7 linked regions of the Xenopus tropicalis genome follow. The protein of the gene in region 6 binds, or shares a complex with, the protein of the main gene of each other region. Links are inferred from orthologs where the notes say so. Each region holds a gene or a part of one and is shown on either strand. Other genes may lie near its edges.

The links.
Region 1: med8 (region 6) and med25 share a complex: the UniProt entries of both Homo sapiens proteins name them as parts of the mediator complex. The link is inferred for Xenopus tropicalis from reciprocal best matches to the Homo sapiens genes MED8 and MED25.
Region 2: med8 (region 6) and med16 share a complex: the UniProt entries of both Homo sapiens proteins name them as parts of the mediator complex. The link is inferred for Xenopus tropicalis from reciprocal best matches to the Homo sapiens genes MED8 and MED16.
Region 3: med8 (region 6) and med20 share a complex: the UniProt entries of both Homo sapiens proteins name them as parts of the mediator complex. The link is inferred for Xenopus tropicalis from reciprocal best matches to the Homo sapiens genes MED8 and MED20.
Region 4: med8 (region 6) and med19 share a complex: the UniProt entries of both Homo sapiens proteins name them as parts of the mediator complex. The link is inferred for Xenopus tropicalis from reciprocal best matches to the Homo sapiens genes MED8 and MED19.
Region 5: med8 (region 6) and ccnc share a complex: the UniProt entries of both Homo sapiens proteins name them as parts of the mediator complex. The link is inferred for Xenopus tropicalis from reciprocal best matches to the Homo sapiens genes MED8 and CCNC.
Region 7: med8 (region 6) and med4 share a complex: the UniProt entries of both Homo sapiens proteins name them as parts of the mediator complex. The link is inferred for Xenopus tropicalis from reciprocal best matches to the Homo sapiens genes MED8 and MED4.

What each region holds. Positions count from the first base shown.
Region 1 is NC_030683.2:117,450,992-117,454,491, forward strand, and holds part of med25 (mediator of RNA polymerase II transcription subunit 25), read right to left. Parts: coding exon 3,472-3,500; intron 3,184-3,471; coding exon 3,063-3,183; intron 2,189-3,062; coding exon 2,032-2,188; intron 1,646-2,031; coding exon 1,512-1,645; intron 1,154-1,511; coding exon 1,057-1,153; intron 589-1,056; coding exon 347-588; intron 10-346; coding exon 1-9. UniProt on the Homo sapiens protein: Component of the Mediator complex, a coactivator involved in the regulated transcription of nearly all RNA polymerase II-dependent genes.
Region 2 is NC_030677.2:100,791,816-100,796,033, reverse strand, and holds the start of med16 (mediator of RNA polymerase II transcription subunit 16), read right to left. Parts: upstream 2,801-4,218; 5' UTR 2,489-2,800; coding exon 2,353-2,488; intron 786-2,352; coding exon 678-785; intron 490-677; coding exon 320-489; intron 125-319; coding exon 1-124. UniProt on the Homo sapiens protein: Component of the Mediator complex, a coactivator involved in the regulated transcription of nearly all RNA polymerase II-dependent genes.
Region 3 is NC_030678.2:70,770,635-70,774,134, reverse strand, and holds part of med20 (mediator of RNA polymerase II transcription subunit 20), read right to left. Parts: intron 2,622-3,500; coding exon 2,368-2,621; intron 1-2,367. UniProt on the Homo sapiens protein: Component of the Mediator complex, a coactivator involved in the regulated transcription of nearly all RNA polymerase II-dependent genes.
Region 4 is NC_030683.2:55,860,814-55,864,313, reverse strand, and holds part of med19 (mediator of RNA polymerase II transcription subunit 19), read right to left. Parts: intron 1,005-3,500; coding exon 882-1,004; intron 1-881. UniProt on the Homo sapiens protein: Component of the Mediator complex, a coactivator involved in the regulated transcription of nearly all RNA polymerase II-dependent genes.
Region 5 is NC_030681.2:82,030,365-82,034,507, reverse strand, and holds the start of ccnc (cyclin-C), read right to left. Parts: upstream 2,801-4,143; 5' UTR 2,666-2,800; coding exon 2,634-2,665; intron 1,179-2,633; coding exon 1,072-1,178; intron 871-1,071; coding exon 786-870; intron 18-785; coding exon 1-17. UniProt on the Homo sapiens protein: Component of the Mediator complex, a coactivator involved in regulated gene transcription of nearly all RNA polymerase II-dependent genes.
Region 6 is NC_030680.2:88,531,562-88,535,061, reverse strand, and holds part of med8 (mediator of RNA polymerase II transcription subunit 8), read left to right. Parts: intron 1-7; coding exon 8-126; intron 127-1,415; coding exon 1,416-1,560; intron 1,561-1,636; coding exon 1,637-1,777; intron 1,778-1,854; coding exon 1,855-1,936; intron 1,937-3,060; coding exon 3,061-3,306; intron 3,307-3,423; coding exon 3,424-3,488; 3' UTR 3,489-3,500. UniProt on the Homo sapiens protein: Component of the Mediator complex, a coactivator involved in the regulated transcription of nearly all RNA polymerase II-dependent genes.
Region 7 is NC_030678.2:134,871,175-134,874,674, forward strand, and holds part of med4 (mediator of RNA polymerase II transcription subunit 4), read right to left. Parts: intron 3,079-3,500; coding exon 3,021-3,078; intron 1,462-3,020; coding exon 1,375-1,461; intron 1,039-1,374; coding exon 907-1,038; intron 593-906; coding exon 420-592; 3' UTR 1-419. UniProt on the Homo sapiens protein: Component of the Mediator complex, a coactivator involved in the regulated transcription of nearly all RNA polymerase II-dependent genes.

The sequences.
Region 1 (3,500 bases), on a different chromosome or scaffold from region 6:
TGTTATGGGCTGTATGAAGACACAAGATAACTGATCAAGAAATCGGCACATAGTAAAAATCATAAAGGTTTATTGCCTCTGAGGAATCAAACTGAAGCCTCAGGCTACAAAGCAGAGCACCGAGGAGCATTTACACTAGAAAAAAAGCAGTTCTCTTTTAGGGAAAAAATACAATAACTTCTGCAGCAATCTGCACTAGTCTTAATCAGATCTGTCACTCAAACATCTAAAATAGAAGGCTCTGACCCAAACAAAGCAATTACATGCAGGTATGATGTCTACACACTTTTCTGGTATGGCTTGGCAAGCAAATGGCAGAAATTCATAAAATCAAAGGCTGCTTTACCATAGATGGCGGAACAGGCTGTTGCTGAGCTCCCTGCTGCTGCAATTGTACAGGCGCTGGTCCAGGACCTGTGGTTACCGTGGTGACAAGACTGGGTTGAGAAGCAGGCGTCATTAAGGATGCAGTGGAAGTAACCATCTTGGGGACTGAGGTATTCTGAGGCATTGCAGGGGGCGGCGGTTGGTTAAATGGAGTACCAACAGCCGATGTAGGTGGCATCTGATTAAGGTTTGGAAGTGGAACTAAAAGTAAAGTAAATAAAATACTTATTGGAGAAAAAAAAAACAAAGTATCACACAGCATAACCACAAGAAACATTGTAAAGTAATAAACAGCCTGGGATTCTGGGCAGCTTCTTCCATAAAATATTCTTTGTCCACATCAGTCATTAAAAAAAAAGTTTCCAAAGAAAGTTCACCTCATGTACAAGTTCTATTTATTAATACTGACAGTTATTTATTGATGTGCATTAAATATCAAGTTTAAATCAGGGAAGCATAAGCTATTTTATCCTGGAGGAATCCAACGTAAGGAGGAGAAGAACCACAAAAGCCATCCTTTTTGAAAGGCACTGCGGCTGAGAACTTACCTAAGGCAGGGGTTAGTGGTTTGGCTAGCACTGGATCAACCACAGGACAAAGGAGCATTTATACAGGCAAAAAAGGCAATTTCTTATCAGCGTATAAAAGGCTGCAGTTTACGTAACTTACAGCGATTTGGGAGGTTATTTTTCTGATTCTTTGCAGCTTCAACCGCAGACTGGGCAGCAGCATGTGCTGTAGTCAAAGTATTCTGCTGAGGAACCTGCTGAGAACAACACAGGTCAGTCTGAACATAACATAATGTTTATTAACCATCTGTTTCCACCCTTCTAATGTAACATGCAATTGCCATAAACTGTGTCCCAGTCCATAAAAGAACATGATGACAAAAATAAAAGCCAAGCTTGTGCATAATACATCTCTCAACCACAGTAAATCCCCCTAAACAATTGGATCTTGTGTACCCAGACCTTCCCTCTTCATGACCAAACTACATTTCAAATAGTCAACTAAAAGGCTAGAAAAGACTTTGTATAACAAACAATTAGTGATCTAACTCCATCGGTTACACTGTATTAATGAAGCCAAGTTCCCAGACACCACACACACGTGGAAATACATACCATATAAGGTGGCTGGACAGGTGGGAGCTGATGCGAAGGGGCATTTGCAATCTGGGGTGGGACAACTGGAAGTGGTGGCTGTGAAATAGGTTGTTTAGGTGGAATGACTCCTGGAACAGATGTAGCTCCTCCTACTGTGTTAGAGAGCCAAAATGAGTAAACATTAAAAACACAAATTATTGACCTGCTGTGTTCCATACTATAGCTATCTACATCTAAAGCTATCTATATATCTGTGTAGGTATGTATTTATGTATATCTATGGTTTCCTTAAAATTTTCTTATATAAGTAGTTTGTGAAATTGCACAGGGCTAGAGACAAAGATATAAGACCTATGGAAATCTGAATGGAAACCAAAACATTATGGTATCCGTTGGTAAAGAAAAAGTGTGTACTAACCAGAATTTGATTTTGGATATAGTTTAGATTTAATTCAATAAGTCAATGGCAATCAACAATCCCTTCTAAAATTCAATGGCATATTTCTGTATAGGCCGATCCATGGCGCACAACACTAACCTGGAAGAACCATTCCGCGTACAAGTATCATGTGCCGAGGGTCCTGGCTGTAGTCTTTAGGCTGTGGCTCGATCAAACCCACTGGCATGGCTTTCTCAAACAGAGTTCGTAATGCTGGCAGTTTGCGCGGGGAAATGACGGAGAAATGGATTCCTCTCTAATAAAAATAAACAAGGCAAATATAGTCCCAGTGGTCATTGGATATGCTTCCATATTCTAAAGTCAACAACAAGAGAATTTTATACCTTATGAGCTGCTGTACAATGTACAATTTAATGCTGGGTGTCCAGTAAATGGAAAATAAGTGACAGAAATATGTTTGATTATCTTAGCACATACCCTTTACAACAATGTTTATTCAGATTTTCATTCTTTCTTCAAAGGACCAGTCATACCAATAAATTAAAATATTACCCTCAAAAAGCTTTTTGATGTGCCTGCACCCAGAGCCACTGTGTCGGGCCTGGTGCAGGCACACTGAGCAGATTTCCCCGCAAAATCAAGCTTTTTGAAGCTTAGGGGTGGATTCTCTGCCTACGTTAATCTGCTGGCCAAGAATTCGCCGCGTGGCCGAGCCATAGGGCACATGTTTTTACAGCAGATTATAAATAAACTGTGTAGAATACAATGGTTTCTGTTCTTACACAGGAAGGTAAACTGGGGACAAATGTCATTTATGGCTCTCTACAGAAAAGAACAAAAAATTTGCTCATGTAAAACTTGTATTTTACTTTTTTACATTACTGATGCTTTAAGCAGAAGGTGTAGTACAACGTTAACCATTTATTATGTTAAAGGGGATGATTACCATTGTTTTTTCGAGCAGATAATGATGAAGCTTACACTTCCTATAATAGTTAAACAGAATTATGGATCTATGATATGGTAAAAGAAAGCAAACATATGCGTCCAAAGAGTATACACAAATGGGGAGAAGGATGATGTAGGAGACAGACTCATAAAGAACAGGGTAACTGGGAACAAAAACAAAGAACACAAATGAGAGCTAAAGTGTTTTTCATGAAACTCACCTCCCCAATTTTCTGTACAAGGTTCTCAGTTGTGTATCCAGAGTAGGTTGTGCTCTCTACAGCAGGCAGTAGATATGGAGGGGAGTTGCAAATCAAGATGCACACCTTGTGAGTTTGCCCACTAACGGAAAAAAAATCATTTGGTGTAATTAAAAAGAGCAGCACCATTACCAATTAAGAATGTGTAGTGCAACTCCTTTATAGGAATTTGTTTCTCTATTACAAGCAGCTGAGCTGCAGTTCTTTTACTGACTTCCTTGTCTTGCATGCAGCTCCACCCCTTATGCTTTCTAGGCCCTCCTTCTCTCTCTCCAACTATAAAGACCTCAAAGAGGTGCCTTAGAGATAGGGCTTACTTTTCCATTAGAATTAACTTACTAAGAACTTTTAGACAGACACAAAAACTCACATCTGTTCCCTCATCTTTTTGAAGTCATC
Region 2 (4,218 bases), on a different chromosome or scaffold from region 6:
ACACTGTAACTAAACCACTGACTGTGACTGCAATCCAACCCTCCATTGGCTTTCCACCAAACAAAGTAAGAGATGGGGAAAACTTCACGCGTGAGAACTTTTCTCCAAAACTGGAAACACCAGACTGCAGGAGAAAAAAGATCAGTATTAAGGGTGGTAAATGCCTACTTAAAGGGAAATAATGGTTAGGGGACAAAAGAAATAATGGTCTCTGCTTAACAACAAAAAGGATAAGCAAAGTGAAGTGAAGTGAAAGAAAAGAGCATACAAACAACTAAATATAAATACTAATGTAAATATTCATTGTTATCTCACCCACCTTCTCAACATGGAGAGCAAGTTTGACTCCATTGTGCAACCAAGACAGAGCTACTATGGGATCTCCATCCACTTCGCTGCCTACAAGACTCTGCCAGCTGTTTGCTAAGTGATCAGTCATTCCCCAGCATTTGATTCGACCATCTGCATCAGCTGAGAGCAGGCGGGAACCTAAAAATACCAATAAAACCAAAGCAACAGTTACAAACACTACTGTCTATGTCCCTTCAAGGATTCATTTTCTGCTTCCCACATTTATCTTGTTTCTTCATATTTCCCTTTGCTCTCTGCCCTTCCCTTTTAAGTTATATGGTTTTCTTGTTTATTATCAAAAAGCCCAGCAATTTGTTTTACTGTACCAGATTGGTCCCACTCCAAGCTGGTAATAACTTCCTGGTGCCCAGAGTTAATAGAGTAGACATCCCACGGATGTTCTGTGTCGAGGATATGGATCAAATTAGTGATATCTGAGAAGAAAAAAAATCAAGTTATTTCAGATTTATCCATATTCCTGTAAAAACACTTTTTAATTTATCAAAACCCTGGAAAACAAACAATCTGGTGAGAATTATGCAATGTTGCAACTCTCCATGGTCAAATTATACTTGCTTTAACGAATAAGAATATATTCAATGAGAGCATAAAATATATACTTAAATTTGTGCATTGTAAAACGCCTGATTTTGAGTACAGTTGAACTTTTTAGAAAGATAATAGAAGACAGATGAACTCTTTGCACTTCAATGTAAATTTCATAAGGTAAATGAATGGGGGTGGGAAGGAGGGCTAACTACAGCCAATTGTTTAGCATTTTTTCAGTAACAAGCACTTTTCTTACAGCTCACACGACCCAACTATTGTGAGAGAATACACACTTCTTCACTTAACATTCTAGTAGGCAGCTCTGGACTGAGATTTAAAATAGGCCCTAGCATTTTCAGCACACAAAAGCTCAAATAGCCCCCAACTAGCGCTCTACTACACAGTCACTGTCTATGGCATCTTTCAGCAGTCCCTCTGGCATTTGCCAGAACCCACAGACTGGCAGTCTGAGCCTGCTGGCAGGGATTATTTACTAAGGGGGGGTAAGGTGCAGAATTTTTTTTCCCCACAATACAAAGTGGCACAGAATGACATTAAATAAAAAGTAGAATTTATTGCAGTAACACATTCCTGGGTCTGAATTTGTGCACCTAGGTCTCAAGCTGCCACGCTTCCACTACAAGCAATACTTTCTATTTTTATATTGGTGCAAGGCATTGTGTCTCAACCCTTTCTCCTTGTAGATTGTAAGCTCTTTTGGGCAGGGCCCTCTTCACCTCTTGTATCGGTTATTGATTGCTTTATATGTTACTCTGTATGTCCAATGTATGTAACCCACTTATTGTACATCGCTGCAGAATATGTTGGCGCTTTATAAATAAATGTTAATGTAATGTAAAAGGCATTGCCTAACCGTAATGTGTATGCCTATAGATTCAGATGCTTTAATTTTTTATCTGCGTCTATGCATCTATCTGCATTCTATGCATTCTAGTGACCCAAATACCCTTAATATACTAACCTAGTTCATTTTAAACATGGTAATATAAAAATGTAATCCAAGCAATCCAAGCTCTTTGGTAAGACCAGCTTTGGACTGGGAACCCAGGGACCCACAAGAAAACCTTAGACCCACTTTCCAAATTATTTGTCCTCCTTCCCCACCCAACCACTTTATTCTCCAAGTCTCTTTTATTTACATAGCATCTATTCTTCCATCTAATTCTTGACTTTCTTCCCATTCAGAAATAGGGAATGACCATGAAACAGGCCAAATGATCAGGAGCAGGAGACTGACACCTGGGCCCACCATGAGTTCTCCTGGTATCCAGTCCAACACTGGGTAAGACTCATTTTGGTTTGTCTTTTAATTGTTTTATGCATTATAGATAGAGAGAGAAAAGTAGACATATAACAGTTACTAAATAATAGAAATACACACACATATAATCACACTCACAGAGCGGTGCTGTAATAACAAAAAGATGTTACCTTTCTCCTCCTCATTGCGCTGATCTGTAGTGAAAGCAATAAGATTGCGGCAAGACCAAGCGCAAACTAGTGGGATTGATGGGCAGTGACTGGTCCGTGGTCTTTTGTCCCACTCACATACGTACCCCACATCCATGCTGACAGCAAACACGCACCTACTAACTATGGGAGAAGGGCTACAGATCGGGGGAACAGAAACACAATGGCTTACATTGGGAATGGACTGACTGACTGCAGCTATAAGAAACGAAGGCGGACGACAAGAAGCGTCAAAAAGCGAAAATATGCTAGAACCTTGCGTAGGGGATTTGCTACTAAACTGCTCTGGTTACTGCTGGTTCCAGAATCCCGTAGGATAACAAGGTTCTACGTAAAACCAGTAATGAAAGTTCCCGGCTACATTAGTGCGTCTCACGGAATAAGCGTCTCAATGTCGCTTTCCGATGGCGTCATCCTTAGATTAGCATGCCGACCTCTCCCGGCGTGCATCGTGGCAAATGCCTAAATTGCAGCTATAAATTCAATCTTTCTCTTCTGTTTTTCATGTACCCAGTAAATAAAACAATATCAAGTAATATTTATTGCTGCTCGGTGTAAATATACATATAGACATACAAAATTGTCACTCCAATATAACCGAATCAAAAGCTAGGGGCTTTAAATAAGAACCGGCGCTAAGGTATGTTTGTGCTCGCTTCGGCAGCACATATACTAAAATTGGAACGATACAGAGAAGATTAGCATGGCCCCTGCGCAAGGATGACACGCAAATTCGTGAAGCGTTCCATATTTTGCACTTATCTTATCAAATGGATATTGGAGTGAAAAACAAACCATGTATATTTATATATATATATATGTATTTAGTTTGTTTTTCACTCCAGATGAAGGCTTCTGTGTGAGACCCAATCGTTGAGTAATAAACCTTTCTATTTTTACATTTACATTTTGCTCACACTTTACTTTGGAAATAAATGTAATTTGGGACTATTTTAATTTAATATATATATATTCTCCACTCATCTAATAAAAAATGTGTATTTGTGAACAGTGTGTGTGTTTGTGTATATATATATATATATATATATATATAGATTTACACACACACAGGATTATGATTTAAAAACTAAAAATCTTTAGTTCCCCCCTTTATTATGCTGTGAAGATGGTTTCTTCCTACAGTCAGTGGTGTAACTATAGAGGAAGCAGACACCATGGTTGGGGGGGGGGCACCAGGGGCAGCCTGGACCATAGGGTCTGGTTCCTCTATAGCAGGGGTGGGCAAACTATGGCCCGCTGTCTCCGGCCCCCTTAAAAGAATGACGGGCCCTGATTGGTTGCGCCCCATGCATGCGCATAGCGTCAGCACACACGGGGCGCAACCATATAAAAGAATGCACTGGGGAGCCGGGGAACAGAAGGACGGGACGGAGGAAGCAGCGGGTCGCTGGCGGAGGGAGCCGCAGGTCATGAAGGATGCTGGGGGGGAGCTGAGAGGCCCCATAATTTTTGATGGCAGCCCCGGGCGTAACGCTGTCCCGGCCCGGTCCGGCCCGTCTGTTAGTCAATGTGGCCCCTGACCCAAAAAGTTTGCCCACCCCTGCTCTATAGTCACTCTCATTGATAAAGTTAAGGGTGCCCGCTGCTTAATATTTGCCAGGGTGGTGGCCAGGTACCTGTGTGCGCCAGACCCCTCCAAAAAATGATTGTGGAAATGTGAAATATGGCAAAATCAGGGAATGTAAAAGTGAGATTTCACTGTGTCTCATCCCACTTGTTGTGGGATGAGATACACAGTGTATCTACAAAGAAGTCAATGGAGATATTGAGCAGACCATGGGTTGTAAAAATCCCTTGCAGGGCCAC
Region 3 (3,500 bases), on a different chromosome or scaffold from region 6:
TCATCAGAATGTGTCTTTTCCAAAAACATATGGTTTTCTGGGGGTCTCTGTACAGTTAGCGGGTCTTATGGCACATAATACACTGTCAGGGTGCTCTGTTGCTGGCAGGTGATAAATCCATACGCACTATTCATTTTGGGGTCCGTACATACCACAGACTTTGGTATATCTATGCATATTGGGCATCAAACTGTTCAGTAGACCTCTGGTGTGTGTTATATTTAGTCATATTTGGGGTGATTTGCCTTTGTATGCAAGAAACTGTGTGAGATAAATGTGACAAATTGCAACATTTTTTGGTGTAGGAAGGACTCTTTACCCATGCTGGATATTTTCAGGGGTCGCTGTACATTTAGGGGGTCTACAACACATAATACGCAACAGGGGATCTTATTTTCAGAAACTGAGTTGGTAGCTGAGAAAATTCATGTGCATATTTTCATTTGGGTTCCTCTGTACACCTCATAATTTGGTAAATCTATGCATATTGGCCTCAAACTGTTCAGTAGACCTCTGATATTCATATTTGGGGTGATTTTCTTTTGTCAGAAAAATGCTAACTTTAGAAAAGCTTTACAGATTAGTACTTTGGTGTAGAAAGGCCTCTTTAACCATGTTAGATCCATCAGAATATGTACTTTCCAGGAATATATGGTTTTCTGTGGGTCTCTGTACATTTAGGGGGTCTTACTTCACATAATACACAAGCAGTTAGTCGAAGCAGAGTCAGCACCCGAGAAAATTCATATGCACTAATAAAAAATCTTTTGGCTCTAACCAGCATTTATAATAAAAGGCACTAAGTTTGTAAAGAAGCAAACACTAACTAACAGCAGCCAATAAGATGTTTCCTTAAGGGTGAAGACACATGGAGCTACTTAGCAGCAGCTACTTTCCATGGCTTCTAAACACCAGAAAATACCCTGCCATAGGCAATACTGTGAAATTAAAATACATGTAGTAAATGATCAGCATTTTAGTAGCCACGACAAGTACCTGCTACTAGTAGCTCCGTGTGTCTTCACCCTTAGACTAGGTAACCAGTAAATGCTACCTGCTGATTGGTTGCTAAGGGTTATTGCTCCTAGGAAAACTTACTGACTTTTATTACATAATCCCCTCAAAGCACAGTTCAGTGTGAAAATGAAACTGGGTAAAATAGACCATTAAATAAAAAATATTTCTAATATAGTTAGGCTAAAGTGAGCAGATGTCTAACATAATAGACAGAACACTACTTCCTGCTTTCAGCTCTCTAACCTAAAAATGTCCCAAACACTTTATTGCTTAAAAGACATATGTAAGCAAAGTGAAATACCATTACAAATGTTGTAAATAGAAATGTCTGAAAAAATGTAAATAAACAAATGTTTAAACAACAATGTTAAAAAAAAAAAAAAAAATTAACAGAACCATTATGTCCCATATGGCCCTCCCTAAAGTTGCTGATTGGTTACTGACTGCTAACAGCTTAGAGAGCTGTAAAGGAGAAAGTAGTGTTCTGGCTAACTATATTGAAAACATTCTTTACTTTGCGCATTGGTACAAGGATAAGGAAGGTACCCAAACCCATACTTTCCCAACTTAATGTTCACCCATGCCTCTTGCAAAACCCATTTTTTCCATGTTTTTTTCCCTTCAAGAACACAGCTGCCATCTTGGATCTGCATATGCACTGTCCGCTAACCCACAAAACATGACCATCTCCTGTGCTTGCATGTGATCGTTATGTCATGACAAAAGAAGGGAATGCTGGATAGTTTTGCAAATGCAAACCTGCAATCATCTTCTGCGCAATTTGAAAGCACAAACCTAACCCCAGTATCCAAGTGATGGCTTCTACTCTTAAAATATGATCAGTTTATATCAGAGCTGCAGGTGATCAGCAGAACAATGGGAAGTTAGCAAGTAAACAGCTCCCTGACACCTGTATTGCTAAAAGTGGCAGATAGAATAGCACTCAATAGTGAAAAAAGTCTGGCTCATGACTTCTGTAGTTCAAGCTCCTCCAATTACATGGAAGTAGGAGAAACATTAGGTTACCTGAAAGCAGGTCTAATGTGTAGCGCTGGCTCCTTCTTAAAGCTCATCGCAGGAACATGCACTGACATGGCTGCCTACACATCAATATGACAACTAAAATACATTTGTTCTTTGAAGAATACAATTTTAAATAGTAGAGTGAATTATTTGCTATGTAAACCAGTCATTTGGAAATAAAAAGTACACCATCAAAATCGTGACAGAATCAAGGATTTAAGGATCATTTTCTTATACTATTCTATATTTATTATGCATAAAAATATCATAATATGAAGTGCTGTTCATTAATATTGAAAATATCTAGGTGTCTTGTCACATATTTACCTCTACAGTGATTCCACGACCACTCTGTCCCACTGTTACCGTGCCAATCTTGACTAAGAAGTCACAGTACTGGTAACGCGTGCCACGTGTTTCCATCTTGTTGGCTTTCGCATTCTGGAAGAATCCCTTAAGCTTTACCATAAGCACATCCAGGTTTAGGTCAGCAACTAGACATGGACCATTCTCAAATAATGCAAATGTACTGAGAGGGTACTCTGAATTGTGCATAACATAGAGGAGCTTCCCAGCCTGACCTGAAATTTAGAGCATATAAATGCAAATACTCTTTAATTTAGGAATATACAACATGGCAATTTTGGATGAGAACTGTGAAAGGTTGCCTACAAATGAAGAAATGAACAGAGACAGAGAGCATATAAAAGAACATTAAATTGTATCTCTACTATATTACAAAATGTAAGTATTCCAGAACCAAGCATATATCTATATGGAATTTGTGTGCTCTATCAAAAATTACTTTCTCTAAAACAATGCTATTTTAACCAGGATAACTTTATCATTTTCAAACAGACCATACATACAAGTTCCTTTTACAATATCCCTTTAATCAAACAATCCAACTTTCATAAAATGATTCTGATCTAGGCCAAACAGAGCCTTTTACATGTTTACCATACTTATTGCATTTATTCCTATTCACTGCAGAAATTTGAGATGTGGGAACATTATTTCACACATGATGGACTTGTTTGATAGCCCAGACTACAGTAACGTGTAGTATTTTCACAGGTGACATGACACGATCATTTGAAGTAAGCGTTTTGGAATGGTGGGGCTAGATGGCTCCATCCAGAACATAGGGATAGCTAACATATTTTCCCTGCAAAATGTTTAAAACATATTCCACATAGTTCAATCTTGCCAAACCTTATACAGGTATGGGACATGTTATCCAGAATGCTCAGGACCTGGGGTTTTCCGGATAAGGGATCTTTCCGTAATTTGGATCTCCAAAACTTAAGTCTGCTAAAAATTATTTAAATATTGAATAATCCCAATAGACTTTTTTGCCTCCAATAAGGATTAATTACAGTATATCTTAGTTGGGATTAAGTACAAGGTACTGTTTTATTATTACAGAGAAAAAGGAGATCATTTTTAAAAATTAGAAT
Region 4 (3,500 bases), on a different chromosome or scaffold from region 6:
TATCGGTTTAAATTTAAACTGCTGCCGTTCTTTAACTATTAATACTAGGGTCCCTAAACTCTGCATAGTTAGTCACTGGGTAACTGCAGTTCCAGGTTAAAAAGTGGGCGGAGCCACCAACAGCCAATCAGATGTGACTCATTGACTTTCAGTGGGAAATTTAATTTGCTGCTATTCAGACACTATTACAAAACTTTGCACAGTGGCTCTTACTATATAACTGTGGTCCAAGGTTAGAAAAAGTGGGCCGAGCCAACAACAGATCAGATTTCATTCAACATGAAGTTTGTTCGCAAACTCCCTTTATAGTTTGGATTGATACTGTGAATAGGCTGTGACTTTAAATCTAGTAATAAGAATAGGGTTTTGAGCCTCCAAATTGTATTAATACAGAGGGTTGTACCATATCCTGTGTCAAATAATGACTAGGTTGGGCTGAGCCATCAGTGTCCCTATCAGGTGGGTCTGGATGCAATAGCTGATGTTAAGCAGGGCCCACTAACTCTTGTATTGAGCTTTGGTTGTTCTTTTTTTGATGTAATCTGTGTGTTCACTGTATACACCACCCCCTTTAATGTATAGTTCTGTGGAACATGTTGGGGCTTTATAAATATGTGTTTTTTAATGTAATTGAAACAATAAAATTAGCTGCTAGCCCAGTCAGGAGTGGGTGAGTTGTACTGTAAACAGAATTATAACTGTGTATGTTGCATCAAACAAGGCTTTGTTAACATAAACTAGGCAAAAATCTCCTTTTATCCCTTCATCACCATTTAACTTCCACAAAGCTACTTATTCTAAATGCCTTTTTGTTTTCTTTTTCAATGGTCAGCTGTAAAAACATGTTAAAAAGGCTAATACCACCTCCCTTTTTTTTTTACCTGGCAGATCTGGAAGAAAGTTGCTGAGTTTCTCTTTCATTTTTTTTCCACAGAATTTACTGAAGGAATGTTCCAAGTTGTAGTGCAAGATAAGATTGACACTGCCAGTGAGATCTGAAAGTCCTGAGGAATAAACAGACACAACTTTAAATATTTACACACAAAACTGAGAAAAAAATATTGCTGCCAATTTATTTTCAAAATCAGTGTACCTAACAGATTAGAATTACATTCTGGAGGTGGGTCAAAATTTTATAAAAGTTCTATATATAGCCACCCTTGACAGGGTTTGCTCTTACGAGTAAAAAAAAAAAAAAACCCCCAAAAAAAACAAAAATTAAAGCAGATCTAGTCAACGTCTGGGCAGCTGTTGTAGGCTAATTAATCCAGTTGATAAAGCCCCAAGGGGCAAAATGCATTACAGATACATTTACTAACCCATCCTTTACCTTGTTTCATTGTGAAGTGATAAATTCCGGGGCTTAAGAAACAGTGGTTGCACAGATTCTCTGGAAAGCAGAAGGATTTCAAATCCCAATATCACTTCACTATGAAACAGGTTTAGGAAGGAACTGCATTACAATGCGAGTCTAACAGAGTTAGGAAATAGTTTTTTACAAATATCAAATCTGTAGAATTAGGTATGTCTGCATCTAAATAGTTTCATGCAAAATAAACAAAGTAAAACATACAGGTCATAATCCTTGTTCAACAACCCCCCGCCCCCCCCCAGTTGTAAAGTTTTTAATCCATTAATGCAGTAATATGGTCCCCACTAGTTGTCTCCCCATTTCCTCAAATAACAATGCATTTAATAAATTGTGTGAGAAAAAAAAATGTAGTTTTATTACATAAACCAAAATCCAGTCTAAATCCAATAGTTACAATATCTTTACAGTCATATATTAAAGTGATACTGACACACAAAAAAAAACTACTTTTTAAAATATGAATGTACATAAAAAGTTACCTATAGGTCATGTTGATCATTTTTCACTGATAGGGCCGCTTTTGTTAATAATTGCTATTTGAAGTCCCTTAACCTGACTGTTTTGCAAACCTGACTGTCCCTTCTCAGCCTGTCAGTTATAGCTTCTAGTGCCAACGAACTCCTGCTGCAGAAATAAGGCAGCCCCCTCATAGAGGAACATGGGGGATTAGATAATATAAAAGCAGTGGGCAAATACTTGTAGGGCAAAATGATAAATGGCATGCAAAGACACGGTTATGATATATATAAAAAAAAAAAACAGTTACATTTCTGGTGTCCATATCTCTTTAAAGGAGAAGGAAAGGTACAATCATTGGAGGGGTTCTAAAATGTTAGGCACCACCCCCCCCCCCCGTGATTGTAATCGCTTACCTTATACCCCAGCCCTGGGTAGTTGTGAGAGTGATCCTCTTTCTTCTTCTAATAGGTGCACCACTCCGGGGTATAAGGCAAGCGATTACAATCACTGGGGGTGTGCCTAACATTTTAGAACCCCTCCAATGATTTTACCTTTCCTTCTGCTTTAAAGATAGAGGGGGATTTTCTGGCTGAACTGTGGTACATCAATAACACCATGACAGTTATATTAGATAGTTTAGTTGTTATAAGCCTTTATACATCAATCCCAAAACAAGGTGGTATGGGGGCTTCTTGAAAAAAAAATAAAAAATAGCCCCAGCACTAGGCTGAACCCACTGGGAGCGAGATCCCGGTGCAGGATCCCATTGGTTTAGAAATAGTCCTGCAATCTGAGCAGCAGTTACCAAGACTGCCACACTGGATGATCGAAGGGCTGCTGTAAATTTGCTGCCAGTGATAGGTGTCAGATTCTTGGAAGAGGGTGGAAAGGTGAGCTGTATACAGGGAAGCAAAAAGTACTAAAACACTTTTCTCATTAAACATGAGGTTGGCACTTATTATACATAATGCTTTATATCTGGAGTCATTTGACATCAAGCTGGCACTGCTACATGTTCTGGGGCATAAACATGTACCTTGCTATATGTATTTGGGCATTTAAAATCAAGTTGGCACTTGTATACTGTTAAAAGATAACTGCCACCAGTAAAAGTGTTGTGTATCTTAGGCTTTCTACTGAGCAAAGTTTACAGTTAAGAAGAATAAAAAGATTTTTTTCAAAATTAAGTTCATTACAAATAATTGTCGGCAGCAACAAAATGTAATCGCCATTTACTCCTGATATACTCCTCACTCCCAACTAAGCCTGTTCTGATGGTCCATTTTAATCTAATCCCCCTGGAAGAGCCAGTCGCACTGATATTTTTCCTTCACCTCAAAGATGACCCAACCTTAACCAGAAGCATGTAACATAGTAACATAGTAAGTTGGGTTGAAAAAAGACATACGTCCATCAAGTTCAACCATAATGCCTATACCTAACCTGCCTAACTACAAGTTGATCCAGAGGAAGGCAAAAAACCCCATCTGAAACCTCTCTAATTTGCCTCAGAGGGGAAAAAATTCCTTCCTGACTCCAAGATGGCAATCGGACCAGTCCCTGGATCAACTTGTACTAAGAGCTATCTCCCATAACCGTGTATTCCCTCACTTGCTAAGAATCCATCCAGCCCCTTCTTAAAGCTATATAATGTATCAGCCAGTACGAC
Region 5 (4,143 bases), on a different chromosome or scaffold from region 6:
TACTTTTTAAAGAATACCTAATATGAAAAACAAAAAAATTATATCAACAAAACATAAGTGCATAAAGGCCATACCATAGAGTAACAATTCCATTTAAATTGAAAAGTTGGATCTGTAAACATTAAATGTAAAACAATACATACAAGATACAGCACAGCTTTATAGCAACAACGTGATCTAAAATATAAGAAAAATTTTGTCAAAATCTTAGTCTTAACCTCGTTTCGTACGATATTCAGTGCGTGTATGGCATGTCGGTGAGTCGACAGATATCGCAGGAAGCTGCTGATATCTGTCGACTCGCCGATCGGACCAGTTAAAAGATTTTGATCGGGCGCCATAGAAGGCGCCTGACCAAAATCTGCCGTCAGGGCTGAATCAGCAGAAGGAGGTAGAAATCCTATTGTTTCTACCTCCTTATCTGCTGTTTCAGCCCCAACGGTGTGGTCCGATGGTCGCACTAAACATCGTCAGATCGCCACGTGTGTCGCCACCTTTAATAGGGCACATTCACCTACCTAGACGAAGTATATGTTTACTAAATGTTCAGTCATTAGCCTGTACTTTTCCAGTCTATGATTACACTCAAATAATATGCACTGCCTGAGGAAAGTCTGGGCTTAACTATCACAGAAAGACACTACGGTGTAGTGGTAAGCCACAGCTGGATTGTGACATTTTAACACTCATACACCACTAATTTTGCTTAGTGCTGCTGGCACTGGATAGGGCATTACCATAAAACCAAAAACACATACAAGTCCTTTCCCTCTCAGCAAACTCACCTGGCATAAAATCTTTTAAAATAAACAGTGGCAGTGGCAATGACTTGTTGTCGTAATTTAAGGTGTTCTCCTAAAGCTTGGATAACTGCAAAGGAAAGAAAATAAGATGAATGTTTAATGTAAATGAGTATGTGTTTCATGCGAATGTAGCAAGAGAAACAAACAGTGTGGGGGCTATTGAGTGGGTTGCATCCCAATAACAATCTATATTCAGAAGTAACATAGCACAATAAAAATATTGCACCTATAATAAAATACCAGGTTTCTAAAAGAAACATGCGATTACCATTTGTAAAAAATATCTGCAATTTCCAATATTCTTCTTCACTTAAAAATTTTAGGTCTTTTTGTCGTTCTTTTAATAAGTCTTGTTTGTCCAAAATCCATTGCAAACTAAAATAAATTAAAAAAAAAAAAAATTAGAAAAATATATCATTTCAATTCTTTTGCACTGCTATTTTGTCAAATTCTTATTAGTCCATAGAGCACATTCACTTACCTAGATGAAGTGGGCCAAGTGCAATTTTGCGCACAATCTCCATGTTTCAGCCAACCGTAGTTTCATGTATTGGCCAAGTCTAAAGCTGGCCATACACGCACCGATAATATCGTACGAAACCTCGTTTCGTACGATATTCGGTGTGTGTATGGCAAATCGGCGAGTCGACCGATATCGCAGGAGGTTGCCGATATCGGTCGACTCGCCGACCGGGCAAGTTAAAAGATTTTGATCGGGCGCGATAGAAGGCGCCTGACCAAAATCTGCCTTCAGCGCTGAATCGGCAGAAGGAGGTAGAAATCCTATTGTTTCTACCTCCTTATCTGCCGTTTCAGCCCTGAACGGTGTGCGACCGATGGTTGCATGAAAGATCGCAAATCGCCACCTTAAGGGCTGGGCTCGGATCGTAAAAAGTCATCCAACCCCTTCTTAAAGGGGTGGTTCACCTTTAAGTTAACTTTTAGTATGTTACGGAATGACCAATTCTAACTAACTCTTTCTTCTTCCAACTCTTTGCAGACCCCAGCAACACAAAAACTAATGCTCTGTGAGGCAGTTTTATAGTTGTTAGTTTTTGTAGCTTTTTTTTTTTTCAATTTGTGCCCTCTCCTATTCATTTAACAGTCTCTCATCCAAACAGCTCCCTGGTTACTAAGGTAACTAGCAACCAAATAGCTGCTGAAACTCCATACTGGAGAGCTCCTGAAATGAAAATGAAATAACTAAAAAAAGCTACAATAAATGAAGACCAATTGCAAACTGTCTCCAAATATCACTCTCTAAATCATATTAAAAGCTAACTCAAAGGTGACCAACCCCTTTAAATGTACTTACTGATGTAAAATACGAATGTCTCCTTTAATATTTCAGTGACCTTGTAATAACCATTTTGATGTCTTAATGGCAAAAATGACCTACCTGAGGTCCCCAGGCATTTAGTGGAACTTCAGCTCCCAGCATTCTCCTGATAGTTATCAGTGGATGTGCAACAGTGCAACAGATGGAGGGCTTTGTTTTGTGCTTATAAGCAAAGCCATGGAACTGATCAAATGCTGGACCTGGACCTCATTTGCAATGAGTTATTCTGCATTTCAGACTGTATATTGCTAACACAACAACTTGCACTTTATTAAAAGGGTTATTATAGGGCTACAGCAAATACAAAAAGGCCTGTACTTCACTACAGGCAAAGAAATTCACAATTTGCAAGTCTCAAAACACTGGTATACTGAGAACGGCAAGGCAGCAGGTTAGAATCTTTTCCGCTCATAGTGAAGTGCTAGGGAATTTTAAAGATGGCGACAGCTCAGCCTACTACCTATAGACAAAACAAATAAAACAACGCTTACTAGTGAGAGCTCTGCCAAAAGTTCCCCGCCATCAATGAGCCAAACGAACACCGCCTAAGGATGAGCGGACCGCTGCTTGTGACGCTGCCAAGAACGTCACAACAACCCACAGCTAGCGTCTATAAAGCCGAAATGTAGAGATTCCAGGAAGAAGACCCAGTGTGCAACGCTGATATGTCCCGGGTGGAAACACACACCAGCACGGAACTCAGTCTGCCTCTAGTTGTGAATAAAAGAAGTATGCGTTAACAAACATACGTATACATTTCAATGATTTCAAATCTGTTTTTTGGTTATAGTTTTACATTTTTGTGTCTTCACAAGGAACGCACAAATTCTCACTGCTTATGTTTTCTGTAAAAAAACATTTCTCAACTTTTATAAAGACTGTGTTCACCATGTCTTTTCTTCTTTTTATATTGACTTATATTAAAGTGGAAAGAATTAGCCAATTTGGAAAATAATGCATGACTATGACACACAGGTTGATTATTCTGCAAAAAATTTGCACTCCATCTGTCCAACATAAAAATACTAATAGCAGAAATTCCCATCAGTTAGTGGGCCCAAAGGAATGCAACAGGGTTATTTGGCCAGGTGTAGGCCATAATCGGATAAATGGCAGGTTGGCCTATGTGTTGCCACCTTTTGCATTATTAGGCTGATGTCAGATGTGGTGTATTCTCAGCAAGCCGGAAAACGCTTGCCTAGAATACGCCCTCCACCTCCTACCTGTGCCTGCACCAGAGCGTAGCTGGTAGTAGGCAGAGGGCGTATTCTCGGCAAGCGTTTTTCGACTTGCCGAGAATATGCCACGTCTGACATCAGCCTTAGGCTAATGCCAGACAAGGCATAGGGCGTATATTTTCGGCAAGCAGAAAAATGCATCCTGAAAATACCGCCCTACGCCTCCTACTTGTGCCTGCACCCGAATGAATGGAATATGCTTGGGTTCAGGCACATGTAGCCGAAATACACATAAAAACTTGAGAGAATGCAAAGTCTTGCGTTTTTATGCGGTATTTTCAGCAAGCGTTTTTCCGGACTACCAATTGGACTACCAATTGTAGAGCAGACTGGTCCCTTAGAAAATTGTAAAAGAATAAATGGGAAAAAAAGAGAAAAGGATTTGTACGTAGCATGGGACATGCAGAAATATAGCAGAAGCAGAATATGTATAACGAGATTAGACAGCAGATATATAGTTATCTGATTTTTCACTGGGATTACTTCAATAAACACAAGTAAACTGAACATTTTATTCAAACTGTTTTGCATTCAGTTGAATGCATTGCTTTACTTGTGTTTTCATAAGACAAATACCCACATAAAAATATAACTTGTATATCATTTTACACAGTTATTCGTTTTTTGTAATAAACCTGCCTTTTACCTGGATCCCAACATGACATTTGTGTATGGGTTAAACAAGTGAAAACAGAATTGCTTGGTTAACCTCAATGAATGCTGAGGGACTGGGACCAGTATATAGAAGGAACCTCCTCTCCAT
Region 6 (3,500 bases):
CCTACAGAGAGAAGAGAAGCAGCTTGAGGCTTGCCTGGATGCCCTTATATCTCAAGTTTCTGACATCAAAAACTCTTTGGTTGGCTTTATCCACAAACTTGAAAATGAGTATGACCGACTGACATGGTGTGTTAAAGCAGATATTTTTAAAGTATTGAACACATTTGGCAGTGAAGACTATTTTCTATGTTAAAGGAGAGGTTTGCCTCAAAATTAGAACATTACAGATGAGGCACATGAGTTATTTCAAATACTCCCACTGGACAGCAAGCACTTGGCAAAGGCTACTAACAGTGCTTTATCTGGCATAACAACATATGCCAGATATGCCCAATATTATTTAGCCACAGATGGTTTGGAATCCCTCTGTCAGAAATAATCACAGATTCTGCATTGATTGGGATGGTTGGATCACACTGGAAAAGCAGTTGCAAATGTCTGCAAGTTAAAAAGTAAATTTGTGGGTGAATGTACCCAATAATAAAACACATTTTAATGTTAAACGTTTGGTTTTTCAGGTAGGGCAGTTCACTGTTTGATGAACACAAAAAATTATTGGCCAACATAAACTGAATACCCAGTGAAATTTAAGAAGGAAAGGCTTAGAGCCCAGTTGTAACCCTCAACACCCCCCCCCCCCCCCACTCCTGTGACCAGCGGCTAACCTGAAATCTCATCTGCTGTGTCTCTTATAAAACTACTTTGCAGTCAGTGATCTTGATCTTGCCATGCTGCATATTGCCAGACAACAGCATAAATCAACAAAACCATCTTGGAAACACCGAGTCTGTTGTGGTACCAATCAGAAACTGACATTTTCCCACCAACAAGGAAACGCCAATAAAATCTGAGTCCCCCAAGTGTTTGCAGAGAGCAGTGGAATCCACCTGTCAGGGGCCAGTTTTGGCCTGAAAATGCTTCTGTGTTTATTACTTCCACTATTCTGCATTTTTTTCTAAAGGGAATAGAATCTTTTGGGCTTCTTTCTGCTGAATCAATATCAGAGTGTTTGTCCCATCCTTGATTCAGTACAAACAGTGATAATTATTGGCATAAATGTATCATAGGGCCTTGATTTTTAAGCTTACAATCTTTTTTTTGCTTTTTAATTCTTGTCATATAAGCAACAGAAAATGTGTCTCTTTAAAGTCTAATTTTTTTTGCCTTCTATTTTATTTTTGTTTCTACAACCAAAACAGGAACTGCACATTTCCTTCGATTCAGCGGGTTTGCTTATGCAGCCATGGAAAGCGAATTTTAAATCTCCTTATACTCCTAATGCAGAATATATAATAATTGTAATGTTAATCTAAAATCCGTCAGTAAGGCAGGATTCGTATGGACTGAATTATTCCTGTTTTTGTGTGTCTCAGCCACATGTGCCAGTTTCTGTCTGATTAGTATATCTTTTTTAGGCCATCTGTACTTGATAGTTTTGCACTTCTGTCTGGGCAATTGAACACACTGAACAAAGTGCTTAAAAACGAGAAGACACCTCTTCTAAGAAACCAGGTCATCATTCCACTTCTTTTGTCTCCGGACAGAGATGAGGAGATCATGGTAAGTTTATGAAATAACTGCTTTTGATGACAAATCTTGTACAAACTTTGGCTGTCATACCTTTCCTTGCCTACAGCGTCTGACAGAAGGTAGGGTTCCAGTATTTAGCCATGAAGTGGTACCAGATCACCTGAGAACAAAACCAGACCCTGATGTGGAAGAGCTAGAAAAACAGCTAAGTGCTGAAGCAGCCCGTATCACCTCTGAGGCTGCACAGGTATAGTTCCCCTCTAAGCATTTTTATTGGTTTTTGCCACATTGTCCATATTGCTGATTTGGTTTTATTTTCTCTAGAAACAAGTTCAGAGTATGAACAAAATGTGTTCCAATCTGTTAGACAAAATTAGCAAAGAAGAGAGGGAGTCTGAACTTGGAAGTGAGTATTTGGTTTGGGTTGATAGCTGCTATGACATGTTGAGTTTGCTATAGTTCTCTCTGGACTCTGTGCAGTACCAGAGAATTGTTTATATAAATAGTGCTCTGCATTAAATCAGCATTCATAAGAAAATGTCAATTATCTACCAGTATATAAAGTACTCTATACTAGTTCTTTTTTTTATTAAAGCCAGTGTCCACACTTTGGGCAAATATCAGACATACTGCAGTAGTGCGGATGTGCCCTAGCACACTTATTATGTGCCAGCACCGGGAACATATCCTATTCTGTGGGAATTTACCTAAAGAAATATTATTATTTGCAAGTTTTTTTAGGCCACACCTTCAGTGGGGGAAACAGTTAAGATTGATAGGTGTCTTTTAGTTTCTAGGGGTCAGGATCCTTGCCACTGCTCCTCCTTGCTAGCCTTCACCAACAAACTGTCCTAATCAAATGGCACGGGTACATTTAATTTATATACTCACGCTGTTCTATGCTCACCCCCTTCGGTAAAAGCAGGTTGGGTGCAGGTATATAGGGAATTCCAGGAGGCCGGGTTGGGTTTGTGTTAGGGTTAGTACCAATCAACAATTAGTCAAACAAGGCATCTCTAATGCCATGTTTCTCTGCAATATGTAAAATATGAAATGATTGTATATGTGTGTTAAATATTTCATATATGTGTTTCTTACAAAGCTTAAGGGAGAAAATGGAGTTATGTAAACATGGACAAAGTTTGCCCTGGTCCATTAGCACACAGCAAACAATTTGCAGTTAGCTATTCACTGATCTTCTGCACTTATAATATTGGCAGACACTTTACTGGGCTGATATATGAATAGTAGAGGGGCTGAATGGAGAGATAAGTAATAATAATTAACAATAAAACTGTATCCTCACCGAGCAATAGTTTTTGACTGCTGGGGTCAGTGACCCTCATTTGAAGGTGAAAAGAAGCAGTAGAAGGCGGCAAAAGGTGACCCATCCCTTTAACACCTTTATTGACTACAAACTATCTAATGGATCCCATACTTGTAGTGTAGAAATAATGTGTATCACAGAATTATATTTTTCTGTAACTTCATGTTTTGGTCACATTGTACATGTGTAATTTCTTAATCTAGGTTTAAGACAGAACAAGCAAACATTTAATCCTACCGACACAAATGCACTTGTAGCTGCTGTGGCATTTGGAAAAGGACTTTCAAATCGTCGCCCACCAGGACAAGGTGGTCCTATGGCTCCAGGACAGACAGGAGCCAGCAGCATGCTTCCAAATGCTACAGGTATGCAGGTTCCAATGTCATTGCCACCAAACCAACAGCAACAACACATGGCTGGAGTATCAATGTCACAGGGCAGCCAGCCAGGTAGGTGCTATTTACATGGTTTACCTATTTTAGTAATGGATATTCTCTTTTTGTATGTATTCATTTTACTTTGACCACATTCCTTTATGTAAATTATCTTTTAATGTCATTAAACAGGTAAGATGCCCAGCAGTATTAAAACCAACATTAAATCTGCCTCAATGCACCCATATCAGCGATGAAAGCCTGTTCTG
Region 7 (3,500 bases), on a different chromosome or scaffold from region 6:
TTGTACCAAACCCAATAATCAGCGCTTCTCAATGGAACAACAACATTTTGATAGAAAGTAAAAAGCAAATGAAGCAGAAAGCTAGCACATTCAATATACAGCACTGTGCCAAAACACATGCTGGCCTCCCTTTCAGGCACTTCATGGGTTTCACAAATAATGAACTAGGATAGGATAACACATCTTCCTTTAAACAATAAACACTTATAAAAAAAATTATCAAAAATATATATATATATAAACAAATCACAAAAAATACTGGTACAAAATGTCAGTTCAGTATTCCAAGTACTTGACAAAAAAGTCCATGGCTTTCATGACTATGGCAGTCTTCAGTAATTAAAGCCACTTAGGTAACATGCATACACATCTCAGAGCTAGTGGTTGGATTCCAGTGGCTGTGAACTTTCTGCCCTCATTTAATCAGAGTCACTGCTGCTGCTGGATGAGTCTGTGGACATGACCTCAACGTCTTCTTCATTTTCCTTGTTGGGCCCAAGGGATTCCATTAAAAATTCATTACTGTGATTCGGAGGTAGCATGTTCATGGACATGTCATTTGATTGCCATGGGTACTGAGGAGCCAAGACATCTAAAACAAAAAGTGATTTCCCAAAGAGTTTAGTTATTATTTGAACACATTAACTACTAAGGCCCAATACAACAATGATATGAAGCAAATAGGCCAAATGTTTATTACATGCAAGTTGATTTCTTTGTCCCTAAAGGGCTATGGCACAAAGCATTTTCAATGGTGTTACTTATGGCAGCAATCAGAATGCTGTGAGCTTCCCATTTGTGATTTAGCAACATATGGAAAGACTAAAGATGTTTTTTTTAATGTTATATGGATTCCAGGAACTGGGACAAATAAATCATGTGAATTTTTAAGTTCTTTTATATTACCTGGGAGTCGTCCAGCAGCCAGTGCATCTCCAGGCAAATGTCCATTGACTCCATTAGTAGGCAGGTTACTCATCTGACCCAGAAGGCCACTTCTCATTTCCAAATCAGTGGGATAAGGCCTTCGAGGATCACCTTAAATAAAATTGTGCACAGGAAAATCAAATTACAATGGCTAATTTAAAGTTGTGTTAAATAATGGTAAAAATACACCACACATCACTACTTCAACATCATGCTGTAAAATAATTTGTATTTACACACCGCTGTGCAATTAAAGTTTAAAATTTTGCTGGAGTTAACATCAACTTTAGAAAGATTGAGTTTAACTGACTAAGTCCCATTTAATTTTTGTGAAGAAGAGAACACAAACCATGGTCTTTCCTTAGTTGGCCTCTCCACACGTTCTTTTTATTTCTGACTAATAAAGCACATAAACTGGAGTAGTAAACACTGGCAATATGTAATTACCTGGCACCCAAGTCAAAGGAGCACATACAGCATTGCTTGCACTAATCCGATGGGCATACTTAATTAGTTCTTCAGAAGAAATTGCACCTTAAAAACATTTAAAGAAAAAAATGTTAGAACATTTACACTTCTAACCTTTTATTATTTAACTTACTACAATTTGATGACAAGTTAGAATTTTTTTTTACCAAACTGTCAGAACAACTAATAATTTGTTGTACTCCACTATGATAACACTATAGTTTATTGTTCAAAATAAAATAAACTTGTGTGTAGCAATCACAGGAAGTTTACGAGGGCATAAAACAACCAGGTATAGGATCAGTGCAATGTGTCAATCCACGTTGGAGCCAGCGATTAAAGTCCAGGTGACAACATCTGTATCAACACTTGTGATTAAAGAAAACTGTATGGGGTTTGACATACTTTAAATGAACACTAATCCCCATATGTAATAAAAGTTGCTAAGTGCCCAGTAGCGGTAACCCATAGCAACCAATAAGATGTTTTCTTTTCAACAGGTGACCAGTATGCTTAGTATGCTCTGAATTGCTTGTAGGTAAGCTAAGCTAAAAATGTGTGAAAAATTATACTGAGCAGAGCATGTAGTAACATCAGATCCCAGTAAATCTCAGATAAGCCAAAGGTCAGTATTGATATGTTGCTAATCTGTATCGCAGGTCACAGAGCCAGGAAGTGTATTGATTAACATATTACTAAGCATTTTTGCTGAATGTTTATTATATAGGTTTTAAAGATTAAGGCTTTCCTGACCAACCTTGTAAAACTAAACACCTATGAAATACACACGGATCAATCAAGAGGCAAGAAATTATTCTTATTAACTTATTGAAAGTGGAAATTCACTTTTCTACTTTAACCTAAAAAATATCTGCACAGCTTATGAGCTTTCCAATCAAATTAGTCAGGGTTAAAATAGATTTAAAAATGTAGTTTAGAGTTGTGTGCACAAAATGGGGTCCAACTGCTTGGAGGAAAGTGTAAATCACTGATACCCTGGGCCAGTGCTCCTGTTTGCTAAAAACTGCACTGGCCCAGAGTATTTCTGCAAAAGATCCTCATTGCCATCTTATTCGAAGTCTTCCACACTTTGTTCTGGTATGGGCGGGCGTATGTGTAGTAGAGTGAAAGCCAAACTTAGTAACTAAAAGCCAGCTCTTTCACTCTAGTGCACACACTCGTGCTCTGGTGAAAAGGAGAGAGAAGAGGAAGAAAGATTGTGCTGAAGAACCTCTACAGAAATACCCTGGGCTGGTACAGTTTTCTACTAACAGGAGTTTCCTTCTGGTTTAATTCTCCACTACTCAAGCAAATTTAAAGGAGAAGGAAATGTAAACTCACTGGGGAGTGCCAAAATGTTTAAGTTTCAGTTGGGCAAAAATAGATGTATATTCAGGCCCAGACTGGAAATATTTGGATTCATGCAAATCTCAGAGGGGCTGCTGTAAGATGCCAGTCACTATTTGGTGGGCTGGGGAGGGGGGAAGCAGTTTGGAATCTGTGTACTTGAAATGCCAGTGCCTATTTTGAACCTCAGTGGGGGCCTATGTATGTTATATTGTTTTTTAGAATAATTCCTTGTGCAAAACTATGCCATTAGTTTCATGAAAATCTTCCACACTCACCCTTCCTTGCTTTATCTATTGATTTCAGTTTTTCCTTAGCTTGGTAGACAGCTGTTGCCTTAGGATAAAAGAAATAACACAATTTTAATTAAACACACTTTTTACAGTATTCTAATGAATCTAGGTATTCATATATAACAGAATATGAAAAGCATAACTCAGTACATTGAAAATCTAGTACAGGCATGACTGTAAGCTCTATGAGACAAGGACCTCTTGTCTCTGACACTTAGGGCTCTGGCACACGGGGGAGATTAGTCGCCCGCGATTAACTACCTGTTCGCGGGCGACTAATCTCCCCCGTGTGCCAGAGCCCTTAGCTCTTAGTCTGTACTGCAACTGTCCTATGTATTTGTTATTGTAAATACCCCTATTTGTTCTATTCATTTATTGTTCAGTGAAAAGTAGCACTGTATAAATAAAATTATACGAGGCAAAGAGAGGAGGTTAAAATTCCCACCAAGTGCTGAAGGTTGTAGT